Pelodiscus sinensis: one gene and its partners. The main gene of each other region encodes a partner of the protein of the gene in region 4 in a complex. Links are inferred from orthologs where the notes say so. Each region holds a gene or a part of one and is shown on either strand. Other genes may lie near its edges.

Region 1 (7,353 bases), on a different chromosome or scaffold from region 4:
CTCTCTATCACAGAAGGCAGCGTGGAGTGCCAGATGGGAGCTGGTCTGCAAGGGGTGTGGAGAAATCCCTGTAATATTATCATTCTCATATAACTTTGTATTAAGATCTTGTCCTTTTAGATATATCTGTAAGTGTTCGTACAGAATCTTTGTAACACTTCTCCTATAACTTTGTATTAAGAGAAACTTTCCTTGTAAGAAAAAAAAATGTCTTTTGAGCTCTCCCCTTTCCTTGATTGTCCTGTTGAAATGAATGAGGTGTGAAGGGAGAATTAAAGGTGAGCACCTCCAGCAGCAGTTGCAAGGGTGGAGAAGGTCTGGGAGCCAGATCCAAGACAATACCTGTAAAGTGAGCTCATTAAGAAGACTGGACAGACAGCTACCTTGGGAGTCAAGCAGCATTGCCCGCCCTTGGAAGAACTCTCTTTGAAGCAGCATTAAGAAAGGCAAGATGATGACTAATTGGCTGCATGAGAGGGATAAATAGGAGGCATCTTGGAGAGGACCCTGGGTTTTCATCTTGTCAACATGGGAGCATCGATCTACAGAAGGCCAGCTCCACCCCTCCTCCATCTAACTCACCTGGCCAGTGCAGTTAGGGGGAGCAACTTTTGGTAACAACAAAATGGAATGTGCTTGTGTGAGAGTGCATGAGTTTAATGTATCATATGCATATGATAAATATTGATTGATCTATGTATGTTCAAGAAATGTGGCGTGTTGCCGTATCCCCCTGAAAAAGATTCTGGGTGCTTCTTTTAAGCACAACAGGGGAGCCAGTTTAAAAAACAGCTACCCCCGATAGACCAGCTGCCTATTGCCTTATGCTACTACCTCTGAGACAGAGGCAGCAAAGGGAGGTGGTGGAAATACTAATAGTCAACTAGATTAACCATTAAGACCAGGTTTATCGACTAGTTGGCTACTAGTTCACATCCCTAGTGCAAAGCACATGTTTGTATTAGATTTCCTTTAAGAAGGGAGCAGTGATCTCAAGTCTATTCATTCCTTGTTTTGAGGATTATTTAAATACTGTAGACAAAATCAAAATATAAATGTCAAAAAGTGATCATAATCTTAAACCACAGATTGTTATATATGAGGAGTAAATTTTACTCAAGTTAGAGGTATTCATTTCCTAGCCAAATGTTTGTTGGTCTAACCCTTCAATCCACTGTGTCTGGATTAGATGTGTGATAGAAATGTAGCCGTGTTAGTCTGGGGTAGTTGAAGCAAAATGCAGGAAAATGTAGCACTTTAAAGACTAACAAGATGGTTTATTAGATGATGAGCTTTCGTGGGCCAGACCCACTTCCTCAGATCAAATAGTGGAAGAAAGTAGTCACAACCATATATACCAAAGGATACAATTAAAAAAAATGAACAAATATGAAAAGGACAAATCACATTGCAGAACAGGAGGGGGATGCGGGGGGGGGGGGGGAGGAAGGAAGGTAAGTGTCTGTGAATTGATGATATTAGAGGTAGGGAGAGTGGGATGTTTGTGAGTTAATGGTATTAGAGGTGATAATTGGGGAAACTATCTTGGTAATGGGTGAGATAGTTCAAATGTTTGTTAAGTCCTTGTTGGAAAGTGTCGAATTTTAACATGAATGACAGTTCAGAGGATTCCCTTTCAAGTGCAGATGTAAAAGGTCTTTGTAGCAGAATGCAGGTGGTTAAGTCATTGAGAGAGTGTCCTTTTTGGTTAAAATGGCAAGAAACTGTTTTCTCTTTGTGATCACTCACAAACATCCCACTCTCCCTACCTCTAATATCATCAATTCACAGACACTTACCTTCCTTCCTCCCCCCCCCCCCCCTGCATCCCCTTCCTGTTCTGCAATGTGATTTGTCCTTTTCATATTTGTTCATTTTTTTAAATTGTATCCTTTGGTATATATGGTTGTGACTACTTTCTTCCACTATTTGATCTGAGGAAGTGGGTCTGGCCCACGAAAGCTCATCATCTAATAAACCATCTTGTTAGTCTTTAAAGTGCTACATTGTCCTGCATTTTGGATTAGATGTGAGCTCCTGAAGGGAGCAACTGTGCTGCTTTCTCTCTGTAGAAAACACTTATCACATGGTGATATGCTACCACACATCAAAAACAACAGACCCACAGCACAACTAATGAGAACCTTCCATTATGAGTTACAATAAGGACTTAAACTCCACACTGTCTGCAAAATACAAGTGTACACATCTGCCTGGCAGAATAGAGGAATTATTGGCTGGAAGAGGGAGGAAGGGAACCGCACTGAAGACTGAAGCAAAATAAAGTGACCATTCACAAGGAGTGGTTACCGGGGGTCAGGGAAAGTGTCACATCACAAGGAGATATTAGAATCATGGAATCCTAGGGCTGGGAGAGACCTCAGGAGGGCATCAAGTCCAGCCCCAGGTCCAAAGCAGGACCAACCTCAACTAAATCAACCCAGCCAGGGATCTGTCCAGCTAGGACTTAAAAGCCTCTGGGGATGGAGATTCCACCACCTCCCTAGGGAACCCATTCCAGTGCTTCACCACCCTCCTAGGGAAATAGTTTTTCCAAATATCCACCCTCGGCCTCCCCCACTGTAACTAGTAAGATCAGTGGTTTCCTAGGAGACTGACAGCACAGCAAGCAGAGGAGAGGGAGATGCTCGCCCAGTGATCAGACCCCCGCGTTGCAACAGCGCGACACTGCGCTCCCCAGCGGGGCCCGGGCAAGCAGCGCGCCCAGCCCCCGCGGCCGGCGCCGGCCTCGCGTGGCCCCGCTGAGGCCGGGCAGGGTGGGGAGCCCGGGGGGCTCACGGGCGGGGGGGACGCGGCTGCAGCCCCGGCCCTGTCCGCGCAGCCCTAGGCCCAGCCCGCCCGCGCGCTCCTTACCCCTCGCCGTTGGCCCGGGCGCCCGGCGGGTGACGCTGCGGCGCAGAGCCCGGCCGAGCCGCAGGAAGCCCCGGAGGCGCCGCGGCGGCAGCGTGCGGAGGAAGAGGCGGAGCCGGGGAGGAAGCGGCGGAGCTGAGGCGGGGGTAAGCGGCGTGGGGGGCCTGTAGGGCCGCGGAGCCGGGCCCGGGGATGCCGGGGCCTGGAGCGGGGCGAAGCCTCCCCGAGACTCGGGGACGGGCGGGCGCTGGGGATGCGCGGTGGCTGGGCACAGGGCCCCCGCGATGAGGCAGCTGCTGGGGAAGCGGGGTGAACTCGGGGCACCCCAGGAACTGGCAGCTGCGGAGGCCGCGAGGTGATCTCCGGGGCACAGAGACCGCAGCGTGGGGCAGGTGCTGAGGTTATGAGGTGCAAGCTTAGGTCAGAGGGGCTGAAGCGTGGGGCAGGTGCTGAGGATGTGGGGTGTACCCCTTGGGCACAGGGGCAGCAGGGCAGGTGCGTTGGATGTGGGGTAAAGACCTTTGTGAGGGACAGTTCCTGAGCTCTCTGTTATTGGGGGGGGGGGAGTCACTCACCTCAGGCCCCTGAGGCATTCCCCCCTCAATTTCTCATTTACTTTCCCATGGGTTTTGCTAGTGTAGGTGTGGGGAGCTATCCTCCACTTTGTGGGAGAATGACGGGCACCCTCTGTATTACACAGCTAATACCACAGCCCCCCACTCTGCAAAGCAGAGACCTTTGTCCATGCTGTGAATGTAACAGCCCCCATCAAGGTATTTCAGCAGAGTTTTAATCCCTGATCTTAAGCACTGCAACACAGATCACCATTATGGGAGATAATGGAGACTCTCCACTACTGGGTAGTCAGTTACCTTCTATTAAACAAGGGGAGGATATATAGAAGATAGGGACACGCTCCTTGCCATAATAGTTAAGTGATCCAGACATGTTCGTAAATAGCATTCAGTGCAGACTTATTAGCAGTGAACAAAGAGGGAAATCACAATTGGTTTATGAACCAAATAAAAGGGTGTCATTTAGATGACAATTGTTTGCAATTACATTTGGAAAAAAGGAAGATCTTTGGGAACATAGGCATCTGCCGTAATGGATCAGACCAGTGGCTTTCTAGTTCAGTTTGCTGTCTCTTAGAGTGGCCAGGGCCCTATGCATTGGAGCAAAAGGCAATAAATCCAAAACAGAATAAATATCCTGCCTATGGGTGTTCTCCAAACCACCATGAGATACTGGTTGTGCCATGATGCATCTATTTCTTATGAACTTTCTAATGTAACTGGATGTTTTCATCCTTATAAAAATTCAGTTATTTTTTTTAAATCCCTGCTAAGATCTTGGTATCAATAGTATCTAGTAGCAAAGAATCTGACTAGTTATACCTTGGGTACTTTTAAAATTGCTGGTTTTCAGATTATTTCAAAAGCTTCAGAGGGGTAGCCAACTTAGTCTGTTTATTTCATTGTTCGCTTGTTTTCTTTTTATCAATAGGATTAGGATGGATTCTCAATGCACCTTTTTTATACCTTTAATCTGTATACCTCTATCTGGTTTCCTTTCTAAAATAAACAGCCCCAATACTTTTAGTCTCGCTTCATGTAAAAAATATTTTCCATTTAGTTGGTCGTTCCTGTGAGTTTTTTCTGAATGAGGGTTCACTGAAAATTTTACATGGAAACTTTTTGATAGCAAGCTGACATAAATGGAATATAAACTAGATATCCTGCATCTGATGCCTTAATACCACAGCTATTATTTTTGCTGTGCTACATATTTATTGGAATAACCATTACATTTATCAGTAACGTGCAGTAACACATGCTACATGAAAAGAAACATTGTCAAATGTCCAGAGTTGTATTTTTCTATAATACAACAAACAAAACCTTTTACAGCAGTAGTCTCCAACCTTTTAAAGCAGTGGTCCCCAACACGGTGCCCGCGGGCGCCATGATGCCTGCGGGGGCATTTGTGTGCGTCTGCCAAATGCTCGGGGCTGGCCTGGCCCTGGGCACGTGGCGCATGCATGGTGCCGGAGCCGGCCCTGAGCGCATGGTGAGCGCCGGCCCTGGGAGCGCTGTGGATTGGCCGCCCGTGCTCTGGGCGCGCAGTGCTGGGGGGGGCGCCAGCCCTGGGCGCACGGCGCTTGGGGGGGGCGCGTGGCGCTTGGGGTGAACGACCATGCCCCCTGGCGCCTGGCAACCTCAAATGGTTGGGGACCACTGTTTTAAAGTATGAGATCACTTTTTGAATTTAAGTGCAATCCTAAATACCTTTGCCCCGCCTCCTTCGTGGCCCTGCCCCTGCTCACCTCACCCTTCCTTCCTCCCCCATCCTTTCGCCTTTTCATCAGGCAGGGGCAGCTGGTCTTGGGCTAAGGGATTTGGAGTGAGAAGGGCTCTGATCCTGGGGCAGGGGTTGGGGTACAGGAAGGGGTTCAGGGTAAGGGTCTGTAAGGGAATTTGGGTCTGGGGATGCTCAGGGCTAGGGCAGGGACTTGGGGTACAGTACAGGGTAAAATACTGGAACAGGGATTCAGAATGCAGGTTCCAGCTGGACACTGCTTACCACAGGTGGCTCCTGGATAATGGTGCAGTGGGGCTAAGGCAGGCTCACCCCTGCACCGTCCCTGCACCACTCTCCAAAGCAGCCAGCAAACTTCCTCCATCCCAAACCTTGTTGTGCCCCCACCCCTGTTCTGTGAAGATAGAATACAGCAGTGGTCCCCAACATTTTGGGGCTGCTGCGTGTCCGGGGGCGGGGCCGCTCACGTTCCATGCACAAGGGGCAGGGCTGTGTATGTGCCGCGCACCAGGGGCCAGCACCAGCATGTGCCACTCACCCGGGGTAGGAGCTGCCCATGCACCAGGCGCCTGGGGCCGGCACCACACATGTGCCATGTGTCTGTGGCAGAGGCTACCCATGCGCCAGGAGCCAGCCCTGGCATGTGCCGTGCGCCCGGAGGCAGGGCCGGCTCAGATTGTTCCGTGGGCACCGCATTGGGGACCACTGGAATACAGGGTGGGTGAGGGGAACAGCTCCAAGGCAAAGGGCAGGAGATGCACAGCAGTGGTGGGAGGGGCAGCTGAAGTGCTGCACTTGATAGCCTCTTGGTCAAACCAGTCAAGATCACCTGTCAGAGGCTCCAAGATCTGATCTTCTAGTTGGTGACACTGTTTTACAGAAACTAAGCACAATAGAAATGTTTTCATTTTTTGTTTGTATTTTTCTGGAAGCATTTGTTTTTAAACAAATAAGTTCTCTGTAGTGTAATCCAAATGTGTAGCATACTGAAACAGACATAATTGATATTGAGCCCATGTTGGAGAAATTTTAAGAAGTAAACAGCACAATTAGTTTAAATGAATTGGATTTTTAACATTCTTTTAGTTCTAACCAGCTAAGCTACCCTTAGTTCCATATTGTAAACAAACACATTTATTTACCTATCTGCTCTTTAAGATGTGCAGTAGAGCTGATGCTGTTAATTGTATTGCAGCAGAGGCACTAGCTACAGACCCTAAGTGAGGCTAAGTTGGCCCCTCTGCTGCCAGTGGCTGTGGGCCCACTCTGGCAGCAGCAGAGGGGCTGGCATTGACCAAGGAATGACGGGGGGCAGGGCACAAGTGCGAAGAGGCAAGGTGGCTGCAGAGCTCTGTGGCTAGGGGCCAGGAGTGCAGCCCTCCGGGAGCACATCAAATTCTGTGGCTAGCAGTCTGGAGGTCAGACTGGTGTCTGTGGGGGTTCTCCCTCCCATTGGGCTGTATTCCTGGACCTGGCTGTAGAGCTCCAGAGCTACCCTGCCTCTTCCCCCGTGTACCTCCTCTCTCCTGCCTCTTCTCCTTGTCCTTCCCTCCCTAAGCTTAAATGCTGCAAATGAGAGGGAGAAGAGCTGCTGAGCTCATGACCCCCAGCTTTTCCCCATAAGTGTTACAATCTGAGAACACCAACAGGGATGCCTGACCACAAATGTTGTTGGATGAGGGAAATCTAGATTATAGAGGTCCAATCTATAGAATAGAGTAAGTGGCAATCTCTGTCCCAAAGATTTTCTCTCTCTGGGTGGGTATGTCTAGACTACATGCCTCTGTCAGCAGAGGCATATAGAATAGGCTACCCGACATAGTCAGTGAAGTAGGGATTTTAATATCGTCGGCACAGCGTGGCAGTCAAGATATGGATCAGTTGACGGGAAGCCTTTGTCAACTGCTCCTGTAAACCTCGTTTCATGAGGCATAAGGGAATGGTTGACAAAGGTTTCCCCTGTCGACCGATCCGCATCTTGACTGCTGCGCTGTGCTGACAATCAGCTAATCCGGCACAGTGCGGCGGCCATTTTCATTTTTATAAAGCTGGGGATATTTAACTCCCCGCTTCATTGACTGTGTCGGGTAGCTTATTTTACATGCCTCTGCCGACAGGCATGTAGTCTAGACATAACAGCTGCGTCTAGATTGGCATGATTTT
Region 2 (7,039 bases), on a different chromosome or scaffold from region 4:
AAAGTAATTCCAGTTTCTGCAATAGCGACAAAATTTTATCTTTTATGGTGAAAATGTTCACATATCTTCCTTGCAGCGACAGATTAACTTCATTCATCTTGGTGAATGTATCTGCAAAGTACAGCAGCTAGGAGTAATTTGTCAGACAATCAGACAGTCAGCGTTTGTGTTCTACAAAGTAAACTAATACTTTGTGATGAAACTCAGAAAGTCTAACAAGCACTTTCCCTTGTGATAGCCACTTCACTTCTGTATGTTGAAGGAAAACTATGTGCTGCCCGCTTCTCTGCACAGAATTCAGAATAATTTGGATTGTAGTGGTCGAGTTTGTATATAATAATTTGCACTGTCTTTTCCAGAACATTTTAAAGAGGTACAAACATATTCTAATGGCAAGAACTTGTCGGTGAAGGACATAGTGACTGCTGGTGCTTAATTCGCGATACAACTCTGGCTGTGTCCCCAACTATTGCCCTGGTGCTGCCACTACACACATCAACACACTTTTCCCAACTAATTTCATTTCTTGTAATAAAGTTAATACAATAAAATATTTCTTCACCAGCCATATTTTTCTGCAAGGATTCACATATTTGCAAGTCCTTTACAGTGGTTTTATCAAACATATAGGCTGTGTCTAGATTGGCCAGTTTTTCCGCAAAATCAGCTGCTTTTGCGGAAAAACTTTCCAGCTGTCTACACTGGCCGCTTGAATTTCCGCAAGAACACTGACTATCTCATGTAAGATTGTCAGTGTTCTTGCGGAAATACTATGCTGCTCCCGTTTGGGCAAATCATTTGCGCAAGAGGGCCAGTGTAGACAGCACAGTACTGTTTTGCGCAAAAAAGCCCCTATAGCTAAAATGGCCATCGGGGCTCTATTGTGCAAAAGCGCATCTAGATTGGCACGGACGCTTTTCCGCAAAAAGTTCGTTTGCGGAAAAGCGTTCGTGCCAATCTAGACGCTCTTTTCCTAAAATGCTTTTAACGGAAAAACGTTTCCGGAAAATCATGCCAGTCTAGACGTAGCCCTGAAGTTTTAAACTGTTTTATTTTTGAGTGCAGAGTTTTTTGTACATCCTATTTTATTAGTTAGGAAGGGTAATTAATATGTGCAGACCAAGGTTCGGGTCTTAAAATTTTGTTTTGTATTATCCATTTGTTTCCATCACACTCTCGTTGCTAATAGAATCTCTATATTCTCTTAAATATACTTTTCTTTTAATGTAAGTGCTCACAAGTTCTGTGTGATTTTACAGCAATAGTGATTTAAGATAAAACTAGAAAACTGGGGTACATGGTTGCTTTGGAGCAGAGGATCTGAGCGGCTAATGTCAGAGGCCAGGTAACAGGGAAAATGATTCATAGGTATATTAATGGAGGAGGTGCTAGGTCTTGGATGGAGGCTGGCTGCAGAAAGGAGCTTGGAATAGGGGACTAAGGAGTAGGAGAGGGTGTGGGGTCTGAGAGGAAGACTAACTGTTAATAAGGTTGGGTGAAAGAGGGGATTATTACGCTGAGCAGGGGATTTTTGTGTAGAGTCCAGGAGTGCATATGGGAACAAGAAAGGATTCTGACCTGGAGGAGGGGGCTGGAGAGTCTAGGAGGAGATTGTGACCTGGGGCACAGTTGCAAAGGTTTGAGTTGTGTCCTAGATCAGGAGGGAGTTGTGACCTAAGGCAGGAAATTGGGATGCAGGTCTTGGAGGGGGCACTGGTGCAGGAGTGGTGGTACAGAGGGTTTTGGTTGTGACCTGGGACAGGTTGGAGGAGTGGGAGTAGGTGAAGTCAGGTGTAGGCTCTGGCCAGTAGATCCTTACCTTAGATAGCCAGCAGCCCAGCCGGACCCTGAGGCAGGCTTCATGCCTGCCACAGCCCGTACTGGCACAGACAAGAGGGCTACGTCTACACTGGCCCCTTTTCCGGAAGGGGCATGTAAATTTCATGAGTCGTAGTAGGGAAATGCGCGGGGGATTTAAATATCCCCCGCGGCATTTAAATAAAAATGTCCGCCGCTTTTTTCCGGCTTTTAAAAAAGCCGGAAAAGAGCGTCTACACTGGCCCCGATCCTCCGGAAAAAGTGCCCTTTTCCGGAGGCTCTTATTCCTACTTTGAAGTAGGAATAAGAGATCCTCCGGAATAGGGCTTTATTCCGGAGGATTGGGCCAGTCGAGACGCTTTTTTCCGGCTTTTCCCCAAGCCGGAAAAAAGCGGCGGACATCTTTATTTAAATCCCGCGGGGGATATTTAAATCCCCCGCGGATTTCCCTATTCTGAAGTTGAAAATTAGCATGCCCCTTTCGGAAAAGGGGCCCGTGTAGACGTAGCCATACTGCTTGCTACTGCCTGGTCAGTAGGAGCCGGATGCAGCCCATAGGGGACGGAGTCTGCCGGAGCTCACACATAGCAGCCAGCTTGCATAAGGCACCATGAAATATGAGGCAATTTGGTACCTCAAATGTCATGGTGCTCCATGTCTGTGGTTATGTGTCTTGCATATGGGTAGAGAAAGCCCAGGTCCAGACAAACTGTAAAACATAATCTGTGCCTAATTTATAATTAGGATGTTTCTGCTTGTGCAATATTCACACAATTGTTCATACATTAAAAACCTAACGAAACACATTGGTCTGTAAATAATCAATCTTCTGGTGTGCACAGTAGTGTAACTCACCATCAAGTGAAAGGGAGTGTCACAACTTTGTTTCTGTTGCCTCTGATCTTGTGGCCCTATTGCCTGGCTTGGCCACCTTGACGTCTTTAAACTAAAGAGAGGCAAAATCTTACTAGTTCTTGAAGTTCTTTGAGTGGGTCTTGAGTGATTTGTGAGGTGGAAGTCTTGTTTTTATTCGACAAGTTAGTGTCACATTTCAGATCCAAGTAGGGGAGCTGGAACTATTTTATAGTGGAGGTGCTGAAAGCAGAAACCATGCATTTGGTTACTATTACTTTAAGGGGGCGGGGGAAGAGTGCAGTACCCTCAGTTCCCCAGGATCCAACTAGAAGAAAAGTGCAGTACTTTTAAGGTCAAAACCACAGCACTCCAGGCATGCAAGGCTGTCTCAATGTGAGACCATCCGAACTCGTAGACTCCCCCGCTGAAGAGAAAGACAGTAGCGCCCCAGCCACTAAAATACGGGCCCCGCCGTCCTCACACAAGGCATCCGTCCTGATTATCCCCCTCCGCTTCTCTCCCAAAGACAAGCTGCAACGCCCCACGCCTAGCAATTGCCTCTCCCTCGCCGGAGAGGGGGGGAGGGGGAGTCGCCCCGCAAAGCCCCCGCCCTTGACCCACTCTCCTCCTGACGTGGAGCGCCACGCACCCCGCCTCCCGTGAGCCCCTGCAGACCCGGGCTGCGAGCGGGCGGGCGGGCAGGCGGCCTGGCCCCCACTGCAGCTCCCCCGAGGGCCCGCCGCCCGCTCCCTGTTCCGCCTCCCCCCTGTTCCCGCCCCTGCCGGGGACCGCCCGGAGCCCAGCGAGGCCGGCCCGCAGCCCCAGGGAGTCGCCGGGCGCCTGCGTTACGGAAGAGGAGCGGCGCGCAGGCAGCAGCAGGCGCCGCCCCGTGACTCACTCGCGGAGGGACCGAGCTGCTAGGCCAGCGCGCAGGAGACTCCTCGCCGGGGGAGCCCGCCCCCGCGTCCCCTCAGGCCCTGCCGCCTCCCGGGCCCGCTCCCCTCCCCCACCCCAGCGATAAGCGGCTCCCGCTACACCCCCGCCGCCCCGCTCGGGCCTCATCCCCGTAGCCGCTCCCGCGGCCGGGCCTCCGGCCCCCTCGCGGGCAGCTTCACAGGCCTGTCCGACGGCCGAATTACCTCACTAGCAACGCCCGCGCCCCTCCCCCACCCCGTCTCCCTCAGCGTTTTCCGATGGATCCCTTCCTCCCTTCCCAGAACGGGGCAGCTGGGGGCGACTATGTCATTGCAGCAGCACCCCCACCCGGTCGGAGCAGCAACGCGCATGCGCGCAGCTGGAACGCGTGCTCGTCAACCGCCTTCCCTTCAGTGGCTGGATCCGCCTCGTTCCCCTTTTCCCCGTGATTTAAATATGCTAATGAAGGGTCGTCGGGAGTCCAATGGCGGGGCAGGGAGGCCGTCACGTGGCCCGTGGACGTGCCTTTAGGGGGCGGCTCCCGACCTGCCCAGGCTGCCTTAAAAGCGGGCTGCGAGCGAGGAAGCGCCTCAGTCAGAGAGAGAAAGTGTCGGGGTGGGTGGGTCGCGGCTGCTCCGCCTGAAACTTCTGAGTAACATCAACAGGGGGGCCGGCGGCGGCAGCAGCAGCAGTGCAGCCCCCGTCCGCCTTTTCCTTATAAACCAGCCTGTGCAGGGTCCTCACACAAAGGCGAACGGGGCGCGGGGAGGCGTCTCTCCCCGTGCAGCGCACTCATAGCCCCCACTGCCCGCCCGCCCCCTCGTGTCTGACCCCCGCCCCTGTCCATGTAGCCGCCGGCCCCGCTGCTGCTTCGCACTATGCCCATCTTACTCTTCCTGATAGACACGTCCGCCTCCATGAACCAGCGCACCCATCTGGGCACCACCTATCTGGACATAGCCAAAGGCGCTGTAGAGACTTTTATGAAGGTACCGGCTCTGCCTGCGAGAGGCGGCGGCGAGAGAGGGGGTGGGTTGAGGTGGGGGGGGGGAGGTCGCCCTGCTGCCCGGGGTTGGGGGGTGCGGACCTGCGGAGGCCGGGCGGGGGCTCGCATGCGGGGCGCTGCTGCTGGCTCCCTCGGGTAACCCTGCGCTTTGTGCCCGCAGCTCCGCGCCCGGGACCCCGCCAGCAGAGGAGACAGGTACATGCTGGTCACTTTCGAGGAGCCTCCCCACGCGATCAAGGTAACCCCCGCGAATCGCCCTCCTCCCCCGGGCCGTCCGCCCGCCTCTCCCCTCCCCCGCGCTCCCGGCGGCGCGGCGCAGCGCAGCTCGCCCCGCACAGGCACACACAGGCTCTGGCAGCGGCGGCGGCGCTGACATCAACATGGCCGACATTTTTCCTGTGCGGTGTGCGAGCAGCAATGGACTGTGGGGGATATTGATTCAAGTTAGGAGAAGTGACAGCAACTCTAAGGCGAGTTCGGCGGCGAGGAGCGGTACCTGCTTAGGGCCGGGCAGCCTAGGCTGGGCGCTTCGCCCTTGTTGTGCGTGGAGACCCGGAGCCTCCACATGACACATCAGAAGGGAACCTGCTGTAGGTCATTGACCGGCCCCGGCCGCTGCCGTGGACCAGGCTCTGGTTATTTCAGTGATCCTCAATAAGTTATAACTTATAGGCTCACTCTTTGCACCTCAAACCGTGAAACCAAGCACCGATATTCTCCTGCGAGGGGGACGGCTGCGAGCTGGGGGGTGTGTGTGAGAGATGGTATATGAAGTCTTTAGAACAGAAGGGGTTCTTAGTTAAGGCTCTAAGATGAGTTGATAGTTTGTGGGGGTATTTTTTAACTTCATACATGAAAGAGAGGAAGAAACCATTTTTGTAATCTGTAACAGAAGGCTCTCCATGTATACTGCTATCATCTGAAAGATAAGCATTCTTGCCTTTCTCTTTGCAGGCTGGCTGGAAAGAAAACCATGCAACCTTTATGAATGAATTGAAAAACCTTCAAGCTGAGGGACTTACGACTCTTGGCCAGTCTCTAAGGACAGCTTTTGATTTATTAAACTTAAATAGATTAGTAACTGGCATAGACAACTATGGGCAGGTAGGTTGAATATGAATAGGTGTAAACACTTTTTTAAAAAACACTTTCAGAGACCACACATGATTAGTTGACCAAAATAATAGCCTCTGTGAAATATGAAGAGTAAAACATAACGGAAACTATTTTACAAATAAACAGTGCTGAGACAATTGGGAAACCCATAACTAGGATGTAGTTTTGCACCCAGTTTTAATTCATTTTTTATTTCATATCTGTTTAAAACTTCTTGAGTTTTTTAAAACACAAACACAAGCATTGATTTACATTTTTTTTCAGTTCACACGTGTACATTTTTGGTATATTATGTTCAAGATAATGAAACCTTATATTTCAGCACATTACCCAATCGCATGCAGTGGTCATAAATATATTTTCTCTTACGTGTAACATAGGTGGTACCCAATCAGTTGGGGGGACTTTGGGGGTTTAGCTTCTCGCTGAAGTACACTTATTGTTAGCCACTGTGGGGACCTAGCTATTAGGTTAACTGGAACAGAGGTTTAATCAAGTATTGGTTTATTAATTAATTAGACCACTGCTTCTGTCTTTGCATATTCCTGTATCATTCAATCTCTTTCCCTCATATTAAAGCCCTGAAAAGCTCTGGCTTCGCTGACAACTTGTACTGGAGCTGCCATCCTTCTGGCTCAGAAGGATTTGAACAGGACTTCTTTTGGAGCATGTCAACATTATATTTAATCAACAGTGTGGGTCACTGTAAAACAATAAGGCACTTACTTGCATTCTTCCTTGGGTTGAATATATATTTGGAAACACTCTCAGTTGCTCCTGGCCTGAAGAGTAAGAGACTTGGAATATGAATCCAGCTCGAGTTTTGCATAGTAGTGGAGAGCATTGCTAATGGGTACACATATTAAATGTATATTTTGCACTTACTTGCCCTATTAGCCTCACATTTCCCCTTTTTATTTTCTCCTGTGATGTAATGCCCTCTGAGAGGAAGAAAGGCTGCTGCTGTTTGTTTAAAAAATAAGTTGCTTCAACCAAATGCTCTGAGACTGAGCATATATCTGTGTTGCCATGTTCTGTTTGTGTAGGAGGAAAATTCTTATTTCCCATGTTTCACTATGTTGCACTGCCAAGTCACCCTAAACATGTTTTTAAATGCAATCTTGGTGACAAAATTTTGAAATATACTAATTTCACACGTAAAGCTAATCTTTTTAGTCTGTTTCCATGCATGGCCCTCTTATACACACACATGTATTCACCTGTTTTTCTGCTTTCCTTCGTTCCTGTTTGACTTAGGTCAGCCTTACAAAGTTTTCATGAAAACTTACCATCACAGATTCAAAAAAATCCAAACCCATAATCCATCCT
Region 3 (7,614 bases), on a different chromosome or scaffold from region 4:
CCCACCTCCTCTTTGCCAGTACATTTTTTAGCAGGCTGACCAGAAGCCCAACTCAGTCCTTGCTCACGCCAGGTCCAGAACCTATCCCTGCTGTGGCTCTGCATTTAAAGTGTGTTAGGAGCCAGGCGGGCGGGCAGCCTGGCTCAGTTTCGACTTGTGCAGGGTTTGGGAGGTTAGCCCCACCCTCCCCCCCCGACAGCACAGAGTGGCAGGGGTTCCTCGGGAGTGGGGCTAGAGCGCACTGGCTGCCGGCCTCATCCCTGGGAACTATAGAACAGTCTATCAACCAATAAATATTTATGAGGTTAATCGACTTTTCAATGTTCCGATATTTAACAGCCCTAGTCTCGCTCATGCCGGGACCCAGCATCAACCCCTGCTGCAGCTCTGCCTTACGAGTGCTTGTAGTGCAGAACCAAAGCAGGAGTAGTTGCCAGACCCAGCTCAAGCTGGGACTGAGTGGTAACAGTGCTAACCCTTATTGAGTAATCATGTAGTCAACAAAATTATGTCGACTACACAATTAACGAATTACATGCTTAACATCCCTAAGTAGTAGAGTAGTTTTTGAACTAAGAGCTGTGGGCAAGTCAACAGATGCAGAGGAACACACAGTTTAGACAACCATATCACTTAAGGGAGGATTAAAGAGGATACTCCGTGGTTTCCAACCAGTTCTGAAACTAGCCACACTCAACAGGCCAAATAGCCATATGTGGCTAGCGTGTTGGGCACCCTAGCTCTATAGCCTAGTAAGGAGAAGAGAATAGAAGTTGATAAAAGTACAGATAGGAATTGAAGAGTAAGTCAAACAAAAAGGAGTCCCATTCAATTACATAACCTGAAGGCAGACAACTACATATTAACAGATTTTGTAACTGCTTGTATACAAACGCAAGAAGTTCAAATACTAAGATAGGTGAACTTGAGGTTGTCGCTGTAATAAGAAATAAGAATGGCCAGGTTTGGGAATCTCCCTAATATCCTCAGTTGTGAAGATTGAAGCAAAGAATTAATTTAGTTTCTCCGCAATGACCTTATCGTCTTTGAGTGCTCCTTTAGCATCTTGATCGTCCAATGGCCCCATTGGATGTTTAGCAGGCTTCCAGATTCTGATGTATTTTAACATTTTACTATTACTTTTTAGGCTTTGGCTTGCTGTTCTTCAAACTCTTTTTTGGCTTTTTTAAATTATATTTTTACACTTACTTTGACAGAGTGTATGCTCTTTTCTATGTTCCTCACTAGGATTTAACTTCCACTTTTTAAACAATGCCTTTTTATCTCTTGCTGCTTCTTTTACGTGGTTGTTAAGCCACGGTGCACTTTTTAACTTCACTTTTAATAAGCATCATAGAATCAATAATAAGCATGATGAGAATCAATGGGCCACTAGAATTGGGAGAGCTCTGAAGTTCATCACCCTTTTCTACATTTTAGACTCCAAGTGGTTACTTCAAAGCCCTATTTATACAGCTACTTTTAGGGCATTAGTAGGAGACTAACCCAACTCTGTCAATCAGGCTTGGGGAGGTTCACTCCAAAACCCAACATCACTTTAGAACCTTCACATTCTGTTACCAACACTTGAGCATCTCTCCAACAAGAGCCATGTCAGGAAATAGAACTATACAAAAGTCCCACTATTTCTTGCAGCTCTAAGTCCCATGAAAGTTGCTCCTGAGGCTATTTCCCCTACCTTGTAATAATGCTCTAGCAAGATTCTGACAACTCCTTCCACGCTTTCCGCCTCCACTGGTTTCCTGGCAAACTGAAGCAGGTATTGCAGAGCATCTGCCGGCGAAGTAGCCTTACACAGATCGACATGGAGTGCTGCCGACTTACTGGGCTTGGTCAGCCGCAGCTTCTTTGCAGAGATCTCCTCATGCTGCTGCTGCTGGGCAAAGCCACAGAGTGAGGCAAGACCTCAGAACAGAGGGAAGCAGGGGAGCCTGGGCTCCTAGCAACTAGCTCCAGCCTGTGCATGGTTTTACCAGCACAGCCACTACTGGGGGGGGGGGGGGGTAGGCATTCCCTCCATGCCCCTGGGCTCTCTGCCCTCTAACGCCCCCACCCACCCACTTCACAGGGGACCCCTTGGCTCTCTAGCCCCCCCCCCCCGACTTCACGGGGATCTCATGGCTCTCTAGCCCCCCCCCCCCCCCGGGGACCCTGCCCTCACTTGCAGGGAACCTCTTGGGCCCCTAGCCCCCCCAGGGGACCCCGCCCAAATTCACAGGGGACCCCTTGGGCCCCTAGCCCCCCCAGGGGACCCCGCCCCCACTTTGCAGGGGACCCCTTGGGCCCCTAGCCCCCCCCGGGGGGCCCCGCCCCCATTTCGCGGGGGACCCCGGGTTGGCTGGCAGCTTCGCGGCTCCCCGGCGCTCCAGAAGAGGAGCAGCCGCCTGCGGGTCCCGAGGCATTTCAGTGCCAGGCCTCAGGCTTCCAGCGGGTTTTCCTGAAACGTCAGGCCGCCCAGGAGTCGCCTTCCCGGGCAGGGGCCGAGCCCCTCTCCCGGGGACGGGGGTGAGGCTTCCCCAAGCCGCCCTCACGTGCTTCGCGGATTACCTGGACGACCTTAGTGAACTCCTCATACACCCGCTTCTTCAGGTGCGCCGCCATGCCGAGGCCCGCCACCGCCGCCGTTCGCCTTCAGCAGGGCGCGAGCCCTCGCAGCCACCGTACCTTCTTCCTTCTCCTCCCCTCCACCACCGCACCCGGAAATGAAACCATAGAGATGCTGGCGATGATGGGAAGATAAACTGTCCTTGCTAGACAGGCGGAGGTCTCCTCTCTATGGCCAGTGAGTCCCTGGCTAGGGAGAAAGAGGCCTGCGAGGCTGGAGCGCCCGTCGCTGGGCTTCTGTCAATCAAGGGGTGGTGCCCGCAGTGGGAGTGCTCAGCGCTAGGAAAGCCACCTTGCTGGTGGGAGGGTCCCTGATCCCTGTGCTGAAGCGCTGGGCTGGGAACCAGGAGTCACTCCCCAGCAAAGAGCCAGCGTGGCCAGCTGCATGTCCCACACGTGGCCAGCATGTGGTCAGCTGCATGTCCCACACGTGGCCAGCATGTGGTCAGCTGCATGTCCCACACGTGGCCAGCATGTGGTCAGCTGCATGTCCCACACGTGGCCAGGTGTGTTTCACACTCCTGGCCAACCGCAGAAGAGTGAGCCCTGGGAACAACAAAGTGAGCCCTGGGAACAGCAGGGCTGAATCAGCAGGGGCTGGAGGAGCAGTGACCCCCGCTCAGCGAAGGGAATCATACAAGCCGCCCTTCAATTTCTAGACTCTTCGGTGGATCTGTTTTAATAAGTGGCTTCCACGGGCCCCTGGCTGTGGTGCGGATCAGGATCCTATGCTAGGTTCTCAGCTGGGGCAAATCAGCACAGCTCAGGCTCAACATTTTTAATTTCCTGAAAGATTTTTTTTAATTCATTGCGTCTTCTTTTGCCCCACGCAAATCGATTTCTGTATCTACATGTTTAATGTACAGGATGTTGCATATCTGTCAGTAACAAATGTACTCCCGTGATAATCCGAATTGTTATTTCCTCCCAGGCACGTAGAGCGAGGTCATTTCCTCAGGCTGTTGCCTGAGAGGAATGACAACACAGAGTCATAGATTCCCGAAAGGCCCATTGTGAACATCTAGTCTGACCTCAAGCCCATATGCAAGGATTTTTGTGGAGGGATGCTTCTTATGTAAATGTGGACCACGATTTTTTTTTAATGTAAAGGAGTTCAGAATAGTTATGCAATGAGTGTGCACAAAAGAGGTTAATGATAAATTTGAGTGGAAACAGTGATTGGTAAAATGATTTTGTTATACTAAAAAATTATACAGCAATAAAGGCTTTACAGAAATTACCTTCTGGGATCATGGCGGGCAGTCTGGCCACCATGGCCCCCTGCTCCCTTGGCCACCACTGCCTGCTGCTGCTCTACCTGTTTGTTGAGGCCAGGGTTAGGTTGAGAGCAGGTGAGGCATCCGGCCAGCAGGGCCAGGCTCAGGCTGCTCCTTGCAGGTGGGGGGGGCGCTATTCCCCCAGCCCTATTGCACTACCACCAGCTTTGCCTACCCACCCCCCAACACAGCACTCTCCCATCCACTTAACACAGTGGTTCTCAAACTTTTTGGCCTGTGGACCACCTGGTTCAATGCAAACCTTTCCATGAATCATCAGTTGCTAATGGAAACTCACTGTTAATTACATAATTACACCCAAGCCATTTTGCTAGTGCTGCAGGACCAGGGTAGGGGGCGGGTGTCTGGCCAGGGGGAGGGTGCAGGAGCAAGGGAGGATGCAGGAGCAGGCTTGGGGGTAGGGTGTCTGGCCATGAGGGAGGGTGCAGGAGCAGGGGGTGGTGGTGGTGTGTGAGGGGGCTGGGCATGAAGGGGTGGGGGGGCACTTATTTGCCTTTCTGCCCCATACTAATCCCAGGCACTGCCTCCCGCTGCTCTCATTGGCTGGATTCTGTTGGAGCACCAGCTCCAGCTTCCCAGTGAGGGGGTGGGAGAGAGAAAGACCTGAGCCGCACTACGTGATCCAGCTTGTGGGAAAGGAGCACTTCTCTTCCCCTTTCCCTTCCCACAGCTGTGGGAACAGCAGCAAGCCTGCGCACTGCTGTTCCCCCAGCCAGGAGAGGGGAAGGGGGAGCCCTTTTTCCCTGCAAGTCAGATCATGTAGTGAGGCTCTGGGGTTTCTCCCCTCCCCACCAGTAGGAAGCTAATGCTAGTGCACCAACCGCATGGGGGGATGTGGGAGGGTGAGGCTACTGTGCCCGTGTGGGCTCCCCACTGCACTAGTAGGAGGGGAGCTGAGATCGAGCTGCAGACCACCAGGAAGGCGGCTGAGGAGCCCCCTCATGCTGACTTGGGTGGTCAGGGAGGTGCATTTGCACCTTCGCATCTCTCCCTGTGTGCATGCCTAGACCTCCTATACAACACAGAGTATAGGACTCCCCATAATTCCTGTTTGAACAAGAGCAGATTTTTTAGAATAACATTCTATTTTGATTTTAAATTGCCCATCCTGGAGGATCCACCACAACCTTTGACAAATTATTCCAATAGATTATGTTCACAGTTAAAAATGTATGACTTTCTTTGTCTGTGGGAAGAGTACCTCAGTTCAGTGATACAGACGGGAAATTCATTCCTGTTATTATTCTCAGTAACATGTTTTAATAAATACCTCTGTAATCCACAGACCTAGGGTGGTTCACTGTCCCACGTAGTGGCACTTAGACAAGGGAGCTCTACAGCCTAAGCTGAGAGCCAGCTGGCTTTATATTTCAAGCTGTAGAGGCTCCTACACTCAGGGGCTACGTCTACATTGGCCCCTATTATGGAATAGGCATGCAAATGTAGCACTTTGGAAAAGGCAAATCCGCAGGGGATTTAAATATCCCCCGCGGCATTTGCATTTTCATGGCCGCCGCTTTTTTCCGGCTTGGAGATAAGCCAGAGAAAAGCATCCAGATTGGCGCGATCCACCGGAATAAAGCCCTATTCCGGAGGATCTCTTATTCCTACTTGCAAGGGCTTTATTCCGGAGGATCGCGCCAGTCTGGACGCTTTTCTCCGGCTTATCTCCAAGCCGGAAAAAAGCGGCGGCCATGAAAATGCAAATGCCGCGGGGGATATTTAAATCCCCCGTGGATTTGCCTTTTCCAAAGTGCTACATTTGCATGCCTATTCCGTAATACGCAGTCAGTGTAGACACAGCCAGGCTGTGTCTACACTAGCGCAATGTTGCGCAAAAACTTGCTGCCTGTCTACACTGTCCGCGTGTTCTTGCTCAAGTAAACTGACGTTCTAACGTATGAAATCAGGGCTTCTTGTGCCAGAGTTCTGACGCTCCCCCTCAGGAATAAGCCCTTTTGCGCAACTGTTATTGCGCAAGAGGCCAGTGTAGACAGGCAACATGAATTTCTTGTGCAAGAAAGCCCTGTGGTTAAAATGGCCATCAGAGCTTTCTTGCGCAAGAGAGTGTCTACACTGGCATGGATGCTCTTGCGCAAAAGCACATGCTAGTGTAGATGCTCTCTTCTGGAAGAGTTTTTGCACAAGAACTCTTCCGCAAAAGAGTTCTTGCACAAGAAGCTGCCAGTGTAGACATAGCCTAAGTGATCCCAGGTTCAAATTTGCCTGATGGTGGTTACACCTCCACATGTGCTCTGAAAGTAGCCAGAAGGAGCCCTTAAAAATGTTAGCTTCTATATAAAAGACTGTTTTGCTTCATGCCAAGACTAGTTTCACTGATTTCTTTACAAGTATATAATATGCTTTTCAAATTCTAGGATACCAGTCTAGGAAACTTACTATTATACTGTGACAAGAGAATTTTTATCTTTAATTGTGTTTCATAAGTATTTGATATAGATTAGGTAAATAAAGGTGAAACATATTTGTTTGCTGTGTCCTGGTCTTGCCCATCTGTCAAGGTTCATGCAATACTTAGACATGCTTGATAAAATATTTATCTACCTGGTGTTTACCCCCTTTTTAATGGAAAGATTTGAAGTTATATAAGTTATATAATAGTGACCCAAATGTTTCAGAAAAATTCTATTGTGGTGTAACATGTGGCATGAAATACTTCATGGGGATGTGTTTGGTTTTGCTGAAGTTAGGAAGAGGTGGAAAAATCAAACAAGTTGGAAGCTGTCTTTAAAGTTAACTATAGCCTTTGTGAACTAAAATGTAATCAAGATTTCATGTCCCGTGTCTCCAAAAGAAATAGGGGTCAGAGACTAGTTCTGCATTTGGGTATGGATTCTGACCCAACAAAGTTTGGTGATGTTCAGAGCTGATTCAAGCACATCTCTCTTTTTGAAGACCTTAGATTCCTATGCTACACACAAATACAGACTATATCAGGCCAAAGTAATTCCTGTGTAAACCCACTGAAATCAGTACAGTTGCATCAGCATTATGAGATTTTGGCCTATCATATCTAGAAATAAAAACATTTTTCAGGGAAGAAAGTTAACTGGAGATGTTAGATATCACGTAATTGAACAGTCATGTAACCACATGAAATCTTAGTGGTTACACAACTATTTGATAGTCCCTGGAGAGGAGGCACGCAGCCAGTGCGCTACAACTCCACTCCCAGCAAATCCCGTCACCCCACATGCTGCCCCAGATACAGCTTTTAAAAGCCAAGCTCCCTGCGCAGACCGGCTCCCACCTGCCACCCCTGTCAGTGGAGGGTCGCAGCTCTCCACAGACAAAGATTGTTCCATGGCAGCAGCCCCTGTCCATGGGGGTCCAAGTTCCCTGCAGACAGAGGCTGCTCCACAACAGCAGCCCCTGTCCACAGAGCTTGGACCCTCCACAAACGGGCTGCCACTTTGGAGCAGCCTCTGGTCCGTGGCAGGCCCACAGACAGAGGCTACTCCGTGGCAGCCTCCCCTGTCCCCTGTTGCAGAGGCAGCAGCATAGGGGAGGGAGGGCAGGTGCCGCCACAGACCTGGTGCTGGGGGGAACTGTTTTTTAAGCGAGCTCTCCCCAGCACCGGCTCCTTGTTGGAGGCAGCAAGGAAAAGCGGGCAGGTCCACAGAGCTGGCATGCACAAAGAGCCACTTAAAAGCCAGCTCCCCGTGCATAT
Region 4 (7,740 bases):
TGCCTCCTCCCAGTTTGTGTCTAACAAATACATTACAAGGCAAAAACAGATGTTTAAAGAAAAATAAGGCACAGAAATTAGTAGCATTTCTTGTTAGTCTGTTCTTATACCATGCTCGTCACCGTAGTATCTGAGCACTTTAAATATTAAAGCAAGAACAGCAATCTACACTTGTTTTGCTGGTTCTACGAAACTTTCTTGATAACTTTACTAGTGGCCGCAGAAAACTATCATGATTTTGATATTTTCAAATAGCAAAAAAAAAAAAAAAAAAAAAAAAAAAAAAAAAAAAAACACATGACAAAAGCTTATGCACACTCAAATAGGTGTCTCTATCCCATTATTATCAAACATTTATATTGGTGTCCCCTTTCACACAGCAAGTGTCTGAGTGGGACAGCCTTTATAAATTAAAAAGGTTTCTTTTTATATTTAGCACTATTATAACTGCTGGAGGTTGAAGCTGTGTTTGGGGTAGAGACTGAGAGCTTGTGACCCCCTCATTTAATAACCTCCTATACAATGTTCCCTCTAGTTTTTTCCCCTCCAAGCACAGAATAAATGTTATGTGCATGGAGGCATGTGTTGATGTATGCCACCAGTAGAAACACAAGCTGCTGGCTGTGGGCAGCATTTGAATCTCTCTTTGGTGGCCGCCCAAGCACTCAGCTTACAGGGAACACTGCTCCTGATCCCTCCATGTCATGACTCCCAGTTTGAGAATCCCTGCTCCATTCCCATACAATACACAGACCACAGCCAAAGACTAGTGCATCCTTATAGTTCCAAGGGTTAATCCTTCTGGTAAAATGTGACTAGATAGCACTTCCTTTGAAGAGCATCAGTGCCCCCTTGCATAGCTATGGTGGTGGAGGAAGGGCACTGAGTCACTGAAAAAAAGCAATAAATTCCATATCCTTCCCTGCATGCTGTCCTATCAAGCCCAAGATACAAGAAACACGCATGGGATGTGAAACAATAATGTAGCAAAATGCCAAGTAACCAGGCCAACAGGATTCACTACTGTTATTACATTCTGGAAGAAGATGGCAACATTCAGATGAAATATTCATACATACACATTTCTAAATCATATTAAAAATGGGTTTTAGCTACCTAAGCTGTTGCTCTTTGTTTGCATCCTGCTCCAAGGCATGAAAATCCACAGACAACAAGGCAACAATTGAGTTGACAGCTTCCACTCCTGAAAGGAGTCGAAGGATAAGTTTTTTATCCTGAGCCCAGCTTTGGCTCTGATCAGCTGGGGCACAAAGGGCCATTCGCACCAGGCAAGGCAACAAAAGCCTTAACTCTGGGTCACTTAGTGCTGCCAAGCGCACAACATCCACCTTCTGCATTGCTTCAAATGCGTAGGGGCTGACAAACTGAAGGCCAGAACACTCTGCCATTTTTACCACCTGTCCTAAAGACAAAATAAAAACACAATTATCATCAGAAGAGACAGATTGCATCACAGCTTTTGACAGCTCTAAGCTGGTAAATGTGGTCTAGCAATTAAAACACAAGACTAGGAGTCAGGATTACCAGTTCTGCTCCTATCTGAGACATCTGGGTCATGCCTCCCATTAAAGAGGGAGACTGCATCAGGACTCCTACTTTCTATTTGCAGCTCTGGGAGGGGAGGAAGGTCTAGTAACCAGGACTTCCAGGTGCTATTTTCAACTGTCACTAAGTGCTCATAAGAAGTTAAGGTTGTGAGCATCTCCAAGATGCTTTGAGATACTGGGACACCAGGTGTCCAGAAAGGGACACATCTCCAACACAGCCAAGAAACCCTTGGGATCCAAAGCAATGATTTATTATAACTGCATTCATGTCCGCCACTTCTATTACAGCTCCCACCAACGGCCTACTCCGCCTCCTCACCTCAGAGCCAAAAAGAGCAAAGGATGGTGGTGCCAGGGTTGTGAAAGGGGAAGGTACACGAGACAAGAACAGGGCCAGGACCGTGTTGCAGGGGTTGATCTGCTCGTGGCCCTGCACTGAAAGCAGAACCCAGGCACCCAGTTTTGAACCGTCCTCCTTCCAGACTGAAACAGGACCCAGGCAGTAGGTCCTGGGGCCAGGCGGGGAGAGAGAGAGAAAAGCTCTGACAGCCTCAGTTCCCCCAGGACCCCAGCATCTGGCACCATGGAGGGCTCTAACAACCCCTCCCCCACTCAGGACCCGGGGTGCAGCCCCTCGAGGGGGGCTCTAACAACCCCTCCCCCACTCAGGACCCGGGGTGCAGCCACTCGAGGGGGGCTCTAACAACCCCCCCCACTCAGGACCCGGGGTGCAGCCCCTCGAGGGGGGCTCTAACAACCCCCCCCCACTCAGGACCCGGGGTGCAGCCCCTCGAGGGGGGCTCTAACGACCCCCCCCACTCAGGACCCGGGGTGCAGCCCCTCGAGGGGGGCTCTAACGACCCCCCCCACTCAGGACCCGGGGTGCAGCCCCTCGAGGGGGGCTCTAACGACCCCCCCCCCCACTCAGGACCCGGGGTGCAGCCCCTCGAGGGGGGCTCTAACGACCCCCCCCACTCAGGACCCGGGGTGCAGCCCCTCGAGGGGGGCTCTAACAACCCCCCCACTCAGGACCCGGGGTGCAGCCCCTCGAGGGGGGGCTCTAACGACCCCCCCCACTCAGGACCCGGGGTGCAGCCCCTCGAGGGGGGGCTCTAACAACCCCCCCCACTCAGGACCCGGGGTGCAGCCCCTCGAGGGGGGGCTCTAACGACCCCCCCCCACTCAGGACCCAGGGATCCGAGGCTTCCAGGGAGAGTCGGGGCAGAGGATCCAGGACTCTCACTAACCTGGGACCCGTCCCTCCCCCCGAGACCGGCAGCGGCTCCGCCCCGCCCACGCCGCCGCTACCTTGCGGCCGGGGCAGCAGGCACCCGTCCCCTATTGATGACATCACACCCGTCAGCCCCCTGATGACGCCGTCAAAGGCTTCTAGGAACGTTCGGGCGTGGGAGGAGCAATGGGCGGGACAACCGACAGGCCAACCGGACGTGACGTCAGGAACGGCCGTCGCTCGGGTGGAGCTGCTTGCGCGGGGGAGGGAAGCCGTGGTTGACGTCAGCAGAAGGCGTTGGCGGCCTTCCGCCTCAGAGGGGGGGGGGCGAAAAGGAGAATAGCGTCTGACGTTCGGAATAGCGTCAACGGCGGCGCGGTGACGTTTCGGGACGAGCCAGGCGTGAGCCGGCCTCAGGCGGCCCCTGGGGCCGAGAGTGACGTGCCGCGGAGCCAGGGACCCGGCCGCTGTGGGCCTCCCCGCCCCTCCCCCGCCCGCTGGAACCTTGTGCCGCCCCCTCCCCCCAAGCTACGGATCATATTCAGCGGGGGGGGAGGGGGCGCTTCGTCTTGTAACGGTCAGAAAGCGCGAGTGGGCCGCTGGCCCCTTCAGGCCTGTCTACGCGAACCCCTCCCCCCCCATTCGAACTAGCAGCGCCGGGAGTAACGACTTCAACTGCGGCTGAGAGCCCACAGGACGCGTCTTCTCAGAGCGCTTCTTTCGAAAGAGCGCGCCCAGCCAGGCAAGAGCCGCTCTCGCGGGAGCGCGCCTGGGCCAGCTGGATGCTCGTTCCAAAAAGCCCTGGTTGCATTCAAGGCCTTTTCAACACCAAAAAAAAAAAAGGCTTCGTTCTTCCTAAAATGAGGTTTGCTGCTGCCGAAAAACAATCCCACTGCATCTGTTATTTAGTGTCGGGAGAAGGCCACGGCAGGCTAAACAACAGCGACTTTTTTTTTTTAAATAGCCTTAAAGTCGGTCCGGTTACAGCCAAAAGCAGCAGGAGTAGAGATTGAGAGAATAGGGTTGGTAAGACGGAGACACCGCTTATTTCCAAATAACTCCCGAATGTAGCCAGGGGCTTGGAAACTAACCAAAATACATGTGGAGAGAAGCATGAGCTTTCATTTATATATGTGTATACACACAGTATCGATACAGTTTTGGTTGTAAGGTAGCACAGGACTACTCGTTTAAAAAAAAATACAGACTAACATGCAAATCCCTGAGACTTTATAACTTTTTTTTTTTTTTTTTTTAAATATAGAGAGAGAAGCATGGATAAAATCCAGCTAGTAACTAAGATGTAGCAGAAAAAAACACCACCTGTAAATTGTAGGACTGGTGCTAATTAGGCTAATCAAGTGGGTTGGAAGTGTCCAATTCTAAGCTTATGATGTAAAAACCCAGTCGTTAAAAGCTTTGGGAGACTAGTGTTAGAAGTGCACAATGACAGCTCAGGTACGGGTGCAGGAAGGTTATAAGTATCCTAAAAGCTTACCATAGATCATTCACTTTATACAGCTTGGCTATGTCTAGACTGGAATGATTTTCCACAAATGCTTTTAACTGAAAAGTTTTCCATTAAAAGCATTTGCGGAAAAGAGTGTCTAGACTGGCATGGACGCTTTTCCGCAAAAGCATTTTTTGCGGAAAAGTGTCCATGCCAATCTAGACGCGGTTTTGCACAAGAAAGCCCCGATCACCATTTTCATCATCGGGGCTTTTTTGCACAAAACAGTTTTTAGCTGTCTACACTGGCCCTCTTGTGCAAAAACATTTCCGGAAAAGGGTTTTTGCCCGAATGGGAACGTTGAAGCATTTGCGGAAGCAGCACTGATTTCGGACAGTAGAACATCAGTGCTTTTGCGCAAAATCAAGCGGCCAGTGTAGACAGTTTAGACGCAGCCCTTTAGAGGGGTAGCCCTCTTAATCTGCATCCACAAACACAACAAGGAAGCCTGTGAAGACCAATATTTCTTTAGGCATAAAGATGGGTCTTTGCCCAAGAAAGCTTGTTGGAGTGCAGCTAATGAAATGGGGTTTTGCCCACAAAAGCTTGTGCCCAAAGAAATCTGTTAATCTTTGGATATCACAGCATTCCTTGGTTTTGTTAATACAGTTTTCAATCTTTACTATGCAAAAAAGCTACATTTTTCTAACTTTTACTTTAAACGAAAAGCATAGAAACAGCTTCCTTATCAAGTTTTAAAAAATTATTTCCCAGTAGTTTTCTAGTAATTTATATTTAACCAGCGGGGGGGGGGGGGGGGGGGGGGGGGGAGGAAGAGGCGGGGAGAGGGGAGTATCTGCTGCTACCTGATTGCATATCTCTGGTTCCAAACAAGGGGTGTGGTTGATGGGTTAGTTTGTAATTCTGAAGGTCCTAACCCTGAGGTTTTTGTGTATTTTGTGTCTATGCTACATTGCAAAAATGCTTTTATTTTAGTCATCTTCAATAAGCTACAACTCCTTCCTGTTGTAGAGAGAGCAGTGTTCCCTATAAGCTAGATACACATGTGGCAACTCAGGAGAGATTGAAATGCCACTCAGCTCATTAGAGTACAGTTTGGCTGCATCTAGACTGGCAAGTTTTTCTGCAAAAACGGTGGCTTTTGTGCAAAAACTTGCCAGCTGTCTACGCTGGCCGCTTGATTTTGCACAAAAGCACTGAAGTTCTATGGTCCGAAATCAGTGCTTCTTGCGCAAATGCTTCGACGTTCCCATTCGGGCAAAAGCCCTTTTCCGGAAATGTTTTTGCACAAGAGGGCCAGTGTAGACAGCTAAAAACTGTTTTGTGCAAAAAAGCCCTGATGACGAAAATGGCGATCGGGGCTTTCTTGTGCAAAACCGTGTCTAGATTTTGTGGAAAAGTGTCCGTGCCAATCTAGACGCTCTTTTCCGCAAATGCTTTTAACGGAAAAACTTTTCCGTTAAAAGCATTTGCGGAAAATCACACAGTCTAGACGTAGCCCATGTGTTTCTAGTAGCAATTCACAGATACATCTTGGTGCACATAAAAAATGTATTCTATATATTAATGGGAAAAATCCTGTACATGAGTGGAAAAGGTTGGAGGGAACACTGAGAGAGGATCGTACAGTTGAGTGTTGGAAATAAAGAGAGACGCCACAATCAAGGCTTCATGAATAATTTATTCCATTTGAATTTTTTTTTTTAAAAGTATAAACTTTTTTCATTTCCTCAATCACAATTTGTACAACTCAGTGTTTATGGCATTCGGCAGCAATAGTGTTTGTTCCTTATTTGATTTTATGTCATATTAAATAAGACGACTTGGACCATTAAACGTCACTGCTGAGCAAAACCTTAAAAACTTCCCTTAAAGTGACCCAGCTATTTTGAGAAGATTTATGAAATTGACATGTCCAGTAATGATGCCACAATTTGCAATTTAAATCCAATAGCTTTTCAAGGTCCTCAAATCCAGTTTATTTGGAAAACCTAAAGCTATATTAAAACTTCCTGAAAAAGTGACCCTGAGGATTATTGTAGGTCCCAAATCCAGTTTTACTGTAAATGAAGTTTCACTCAATTGAAAATAAAGTACACCCACATATAAGATTTTCTAAATATCAGACATAGATCTATATCTTTCAATTAAGATGAAAGTAATTAATTTTTCACTTTAGAATTTCTGTCAAGATAGTTTGTCATATAATTTAACTTTGAGAAACTGAGTTCTTAGAGGAAACCCAGGCCAAAATATTGTTTCATGTACAATTACATGGATAATATTAACAGACTGATATGCTATGCCATAGACTGTTGTGCAGCAAATTAAATGGTGCAATAGCATTTAAAACTTTTTCATCTATTAAATTTGAATGTTTTTAAATAATGCAACATAATATTGATAGTACAGTATTAACAAATAGTGCTTGATTAAAGACATCTGCAAATCTTTGTAGCAACACATGAAGTTAAGTCACCATGGAAGATAAATAAAGATTAAAAGAATATAGTAATAATCTGTGCCATATTGACAGCTGAGTAAGAATATAGCTGAAGATTTTAATGATAACTTTAATTTTAGCCATTTCAGAAAATGTTAGAAAGTTTTAAAATGTACAAGCTACTTTAAAAGGCAAGGATTTTATGCAAGTACACTTGGCGGCCTACTGGCCAAACAATATGTACATGAATCTAATTCATACCGTGTTAAGTCCAGATGACAACGGCTTGCATAAAGAAAGTATGGCTAGATTTTTTTTTTGACTGGCATGTATATAATTATAATTTGAAATCCCAAAATACTTAATAGGTGAACTTCCACAAAATGCTACTAAACTGAGAGCTGCACAGACCAACACTAGGAACAAGCATTTTGAGATGTTGCCACCCAAACTGTCAATGATCTGTATAAACTCTGTTATTAAGCTTGCACCTTCTGTTCAAATCTGCTGTTAACTGGCTGTGACAATATAACTGTTAGAAAGTAGTCAAGTGGAAGGGTTAATCATTAAAGGAATTTGATTCATAAGATGGAAGTTACTTATTTAGAAGTAAGCTAAATATGGTAATTAGCTCCTTGGTGCTGGCAGTTTTGATATGTACATTGCTGGCAATGGATGCCACCAAGAAGACAGTCTCTCAGGACAAATGATTCTAAAAAAAGTTTCAAAAAGGGGCCTTCTGATTTTTTTTTACTGGTTATTTTCTCTGTTTATATTACTGACTACATTTGAAAAGCTTCTTCTACCCACAGTTTTTCTATACAGGTGGGGAATGTCAGAGCACATTCATTTAATTATACATTAAGAACTGGACCTCAGCAGTCAGGCAGCTGGCTCACTTATGAACACAAGTCACTTTCAGATTTTAAACAGATCACTTCCAACAAGTTCCAAGCTAAACAGGTGTGTTAACATTAAGACCGATTTTGAAATCAGCCATCTGGCAACACTGAGCTAAAAAAAATTG

Evidence for each region.
Region 1: INTS2 (region 4) and INTS12 share a complex: the UniProt entries of both Homo sapiens proteins name them as parts of the integrator complex. The link is inferred for Pelodiscus sinensis from reciprocal best matches to the Homo sapiens genes INTS2 and INTS12.
Region 2: the proteins of INTS2 (region 4) and INTS6 are in contact, whole or in part, in a cryo-EM structure (PDB 8RBZ), measured with the Homo sapiens proteins. The link is inferred for Pelodiscus sinensis from reciprocal best matches to the Homo sapiens genes INTS2 and INTS6. Residues at the interface, in NP_065799.2 of Homo sapiens: Ile855, Asp856, Pro857, Leu858, His895, Arg923, Glu925, Leu926, Lys927, Ala929, Leu930, Ala932, Ala933, Gln934, Ser936, Ala937, Gln940, Ile941, Glu944, Asn1010, Lys1013, Leu1014, Phe1017, Gln1018, Gly1019, Tyr1020, Pro1021, Ile1046, Ala1047, Gln1048; in NP_036273.1 of Homo sapiens: Ile484, Val486, Arg487, Ser488, Arg489, Phe527, Gln528, Val529, Ala530, Leu531, Leu532, Asn533, Phe541, Arg542, Asn543, Ala544, Tyr545, Ile547, Arg549, Leu552, Leu553, Leu556, Met559, Arg560, Asn562, Leu563, Leu564, Lys565.
Region 3: INTS2 (region 4) and INTS4 share a complex: the UniProt entries of both Homo sapiens proteins name them as parts of the integrator complex. The link is inferred for Pelodiscus sinensis from reciprocal best matches to the Homo sapiens genes INTS2 and INTS4.

The regions. Positions count from the first base shown.
Region 1 is NC_134715.1:26,900,093-26,907,445, forward strand, and holds the start of INTS12 (integrator complex subunit 12), read right to left. Parts: upstream 3,008-7,353; 5' UTR 2,875-3,007; intron 1-2,874. UniProt on the Homo sapiens protein: Component of the integrator complex, a multiprotein complex that terminates RNA polymerase II (Pol II) transcription in the promoter-proximal region of genes.
Region 2 is NC_134711.1:291,278,771-291,285,809, reverse strand, and holds the start of INTS6 (integrator complex subunit 6), read left to right. Parts: upstream 1-4,024; 5' UTR 4,025-4,466; coding exon 4,467-4,577; intron 4,578-4,754; coding exon 4,755-4,832; intron 4,833-4,938; exon of another isoform or gene 4,939-4,974; coding exon of another isoform or gene 4,975-5,064; intron 5,065-5,548; coding exon 5,549-5,698; intron 5,699-7,039. UniProt on the Homo sapiens protein: Component of the integrator complex, a multiprotein complex that terminates RNA polymerase II (Pol II) transcription in the promoter-proximal region of genes.
Region 3 is NC_134711.1:316,726,099-316,733,712, reverse strand, and holds the start of INTS4 (integrator complex subunit 4), read right to left. Parts: upstream 3,002-7,614; 5' UTR 2,623-3,001; coding exon 2,569-2,622; intron 1,898-2,568; coding exon 1,700-1,897; intron 1-1,699. UniProt on the Homo sapiens protein: Component of the integrator complex, a multiprotein complex that terminates RNA polymerase II (Pol II) transcription in the promoter-proximal region of genes.
Region 4 is NC_134731.1:6,069,772-6,077,511, reverse strand, and holds the start of INTS2 (integrator complex subunit 2), read right to left. Parts: upstream 3,019-7,740; 5' UTR 2,920-3,018; coding exon 2,877-2,919; exon of another isoform or gene 2,816-2,876; intron 2,210-2,815; exon of another isoform or gene 1,888-2,209; intron 1,424-1,887; coding exon 1,117-1,423; intron 21-1,116; coding exon 1-20. UniProt on the Homo sapiens protein: Component of the integrator complex, a multiprotein complex that terminates RNA polymerase II (Pol II) transcription in the promoter-proximal region of genes.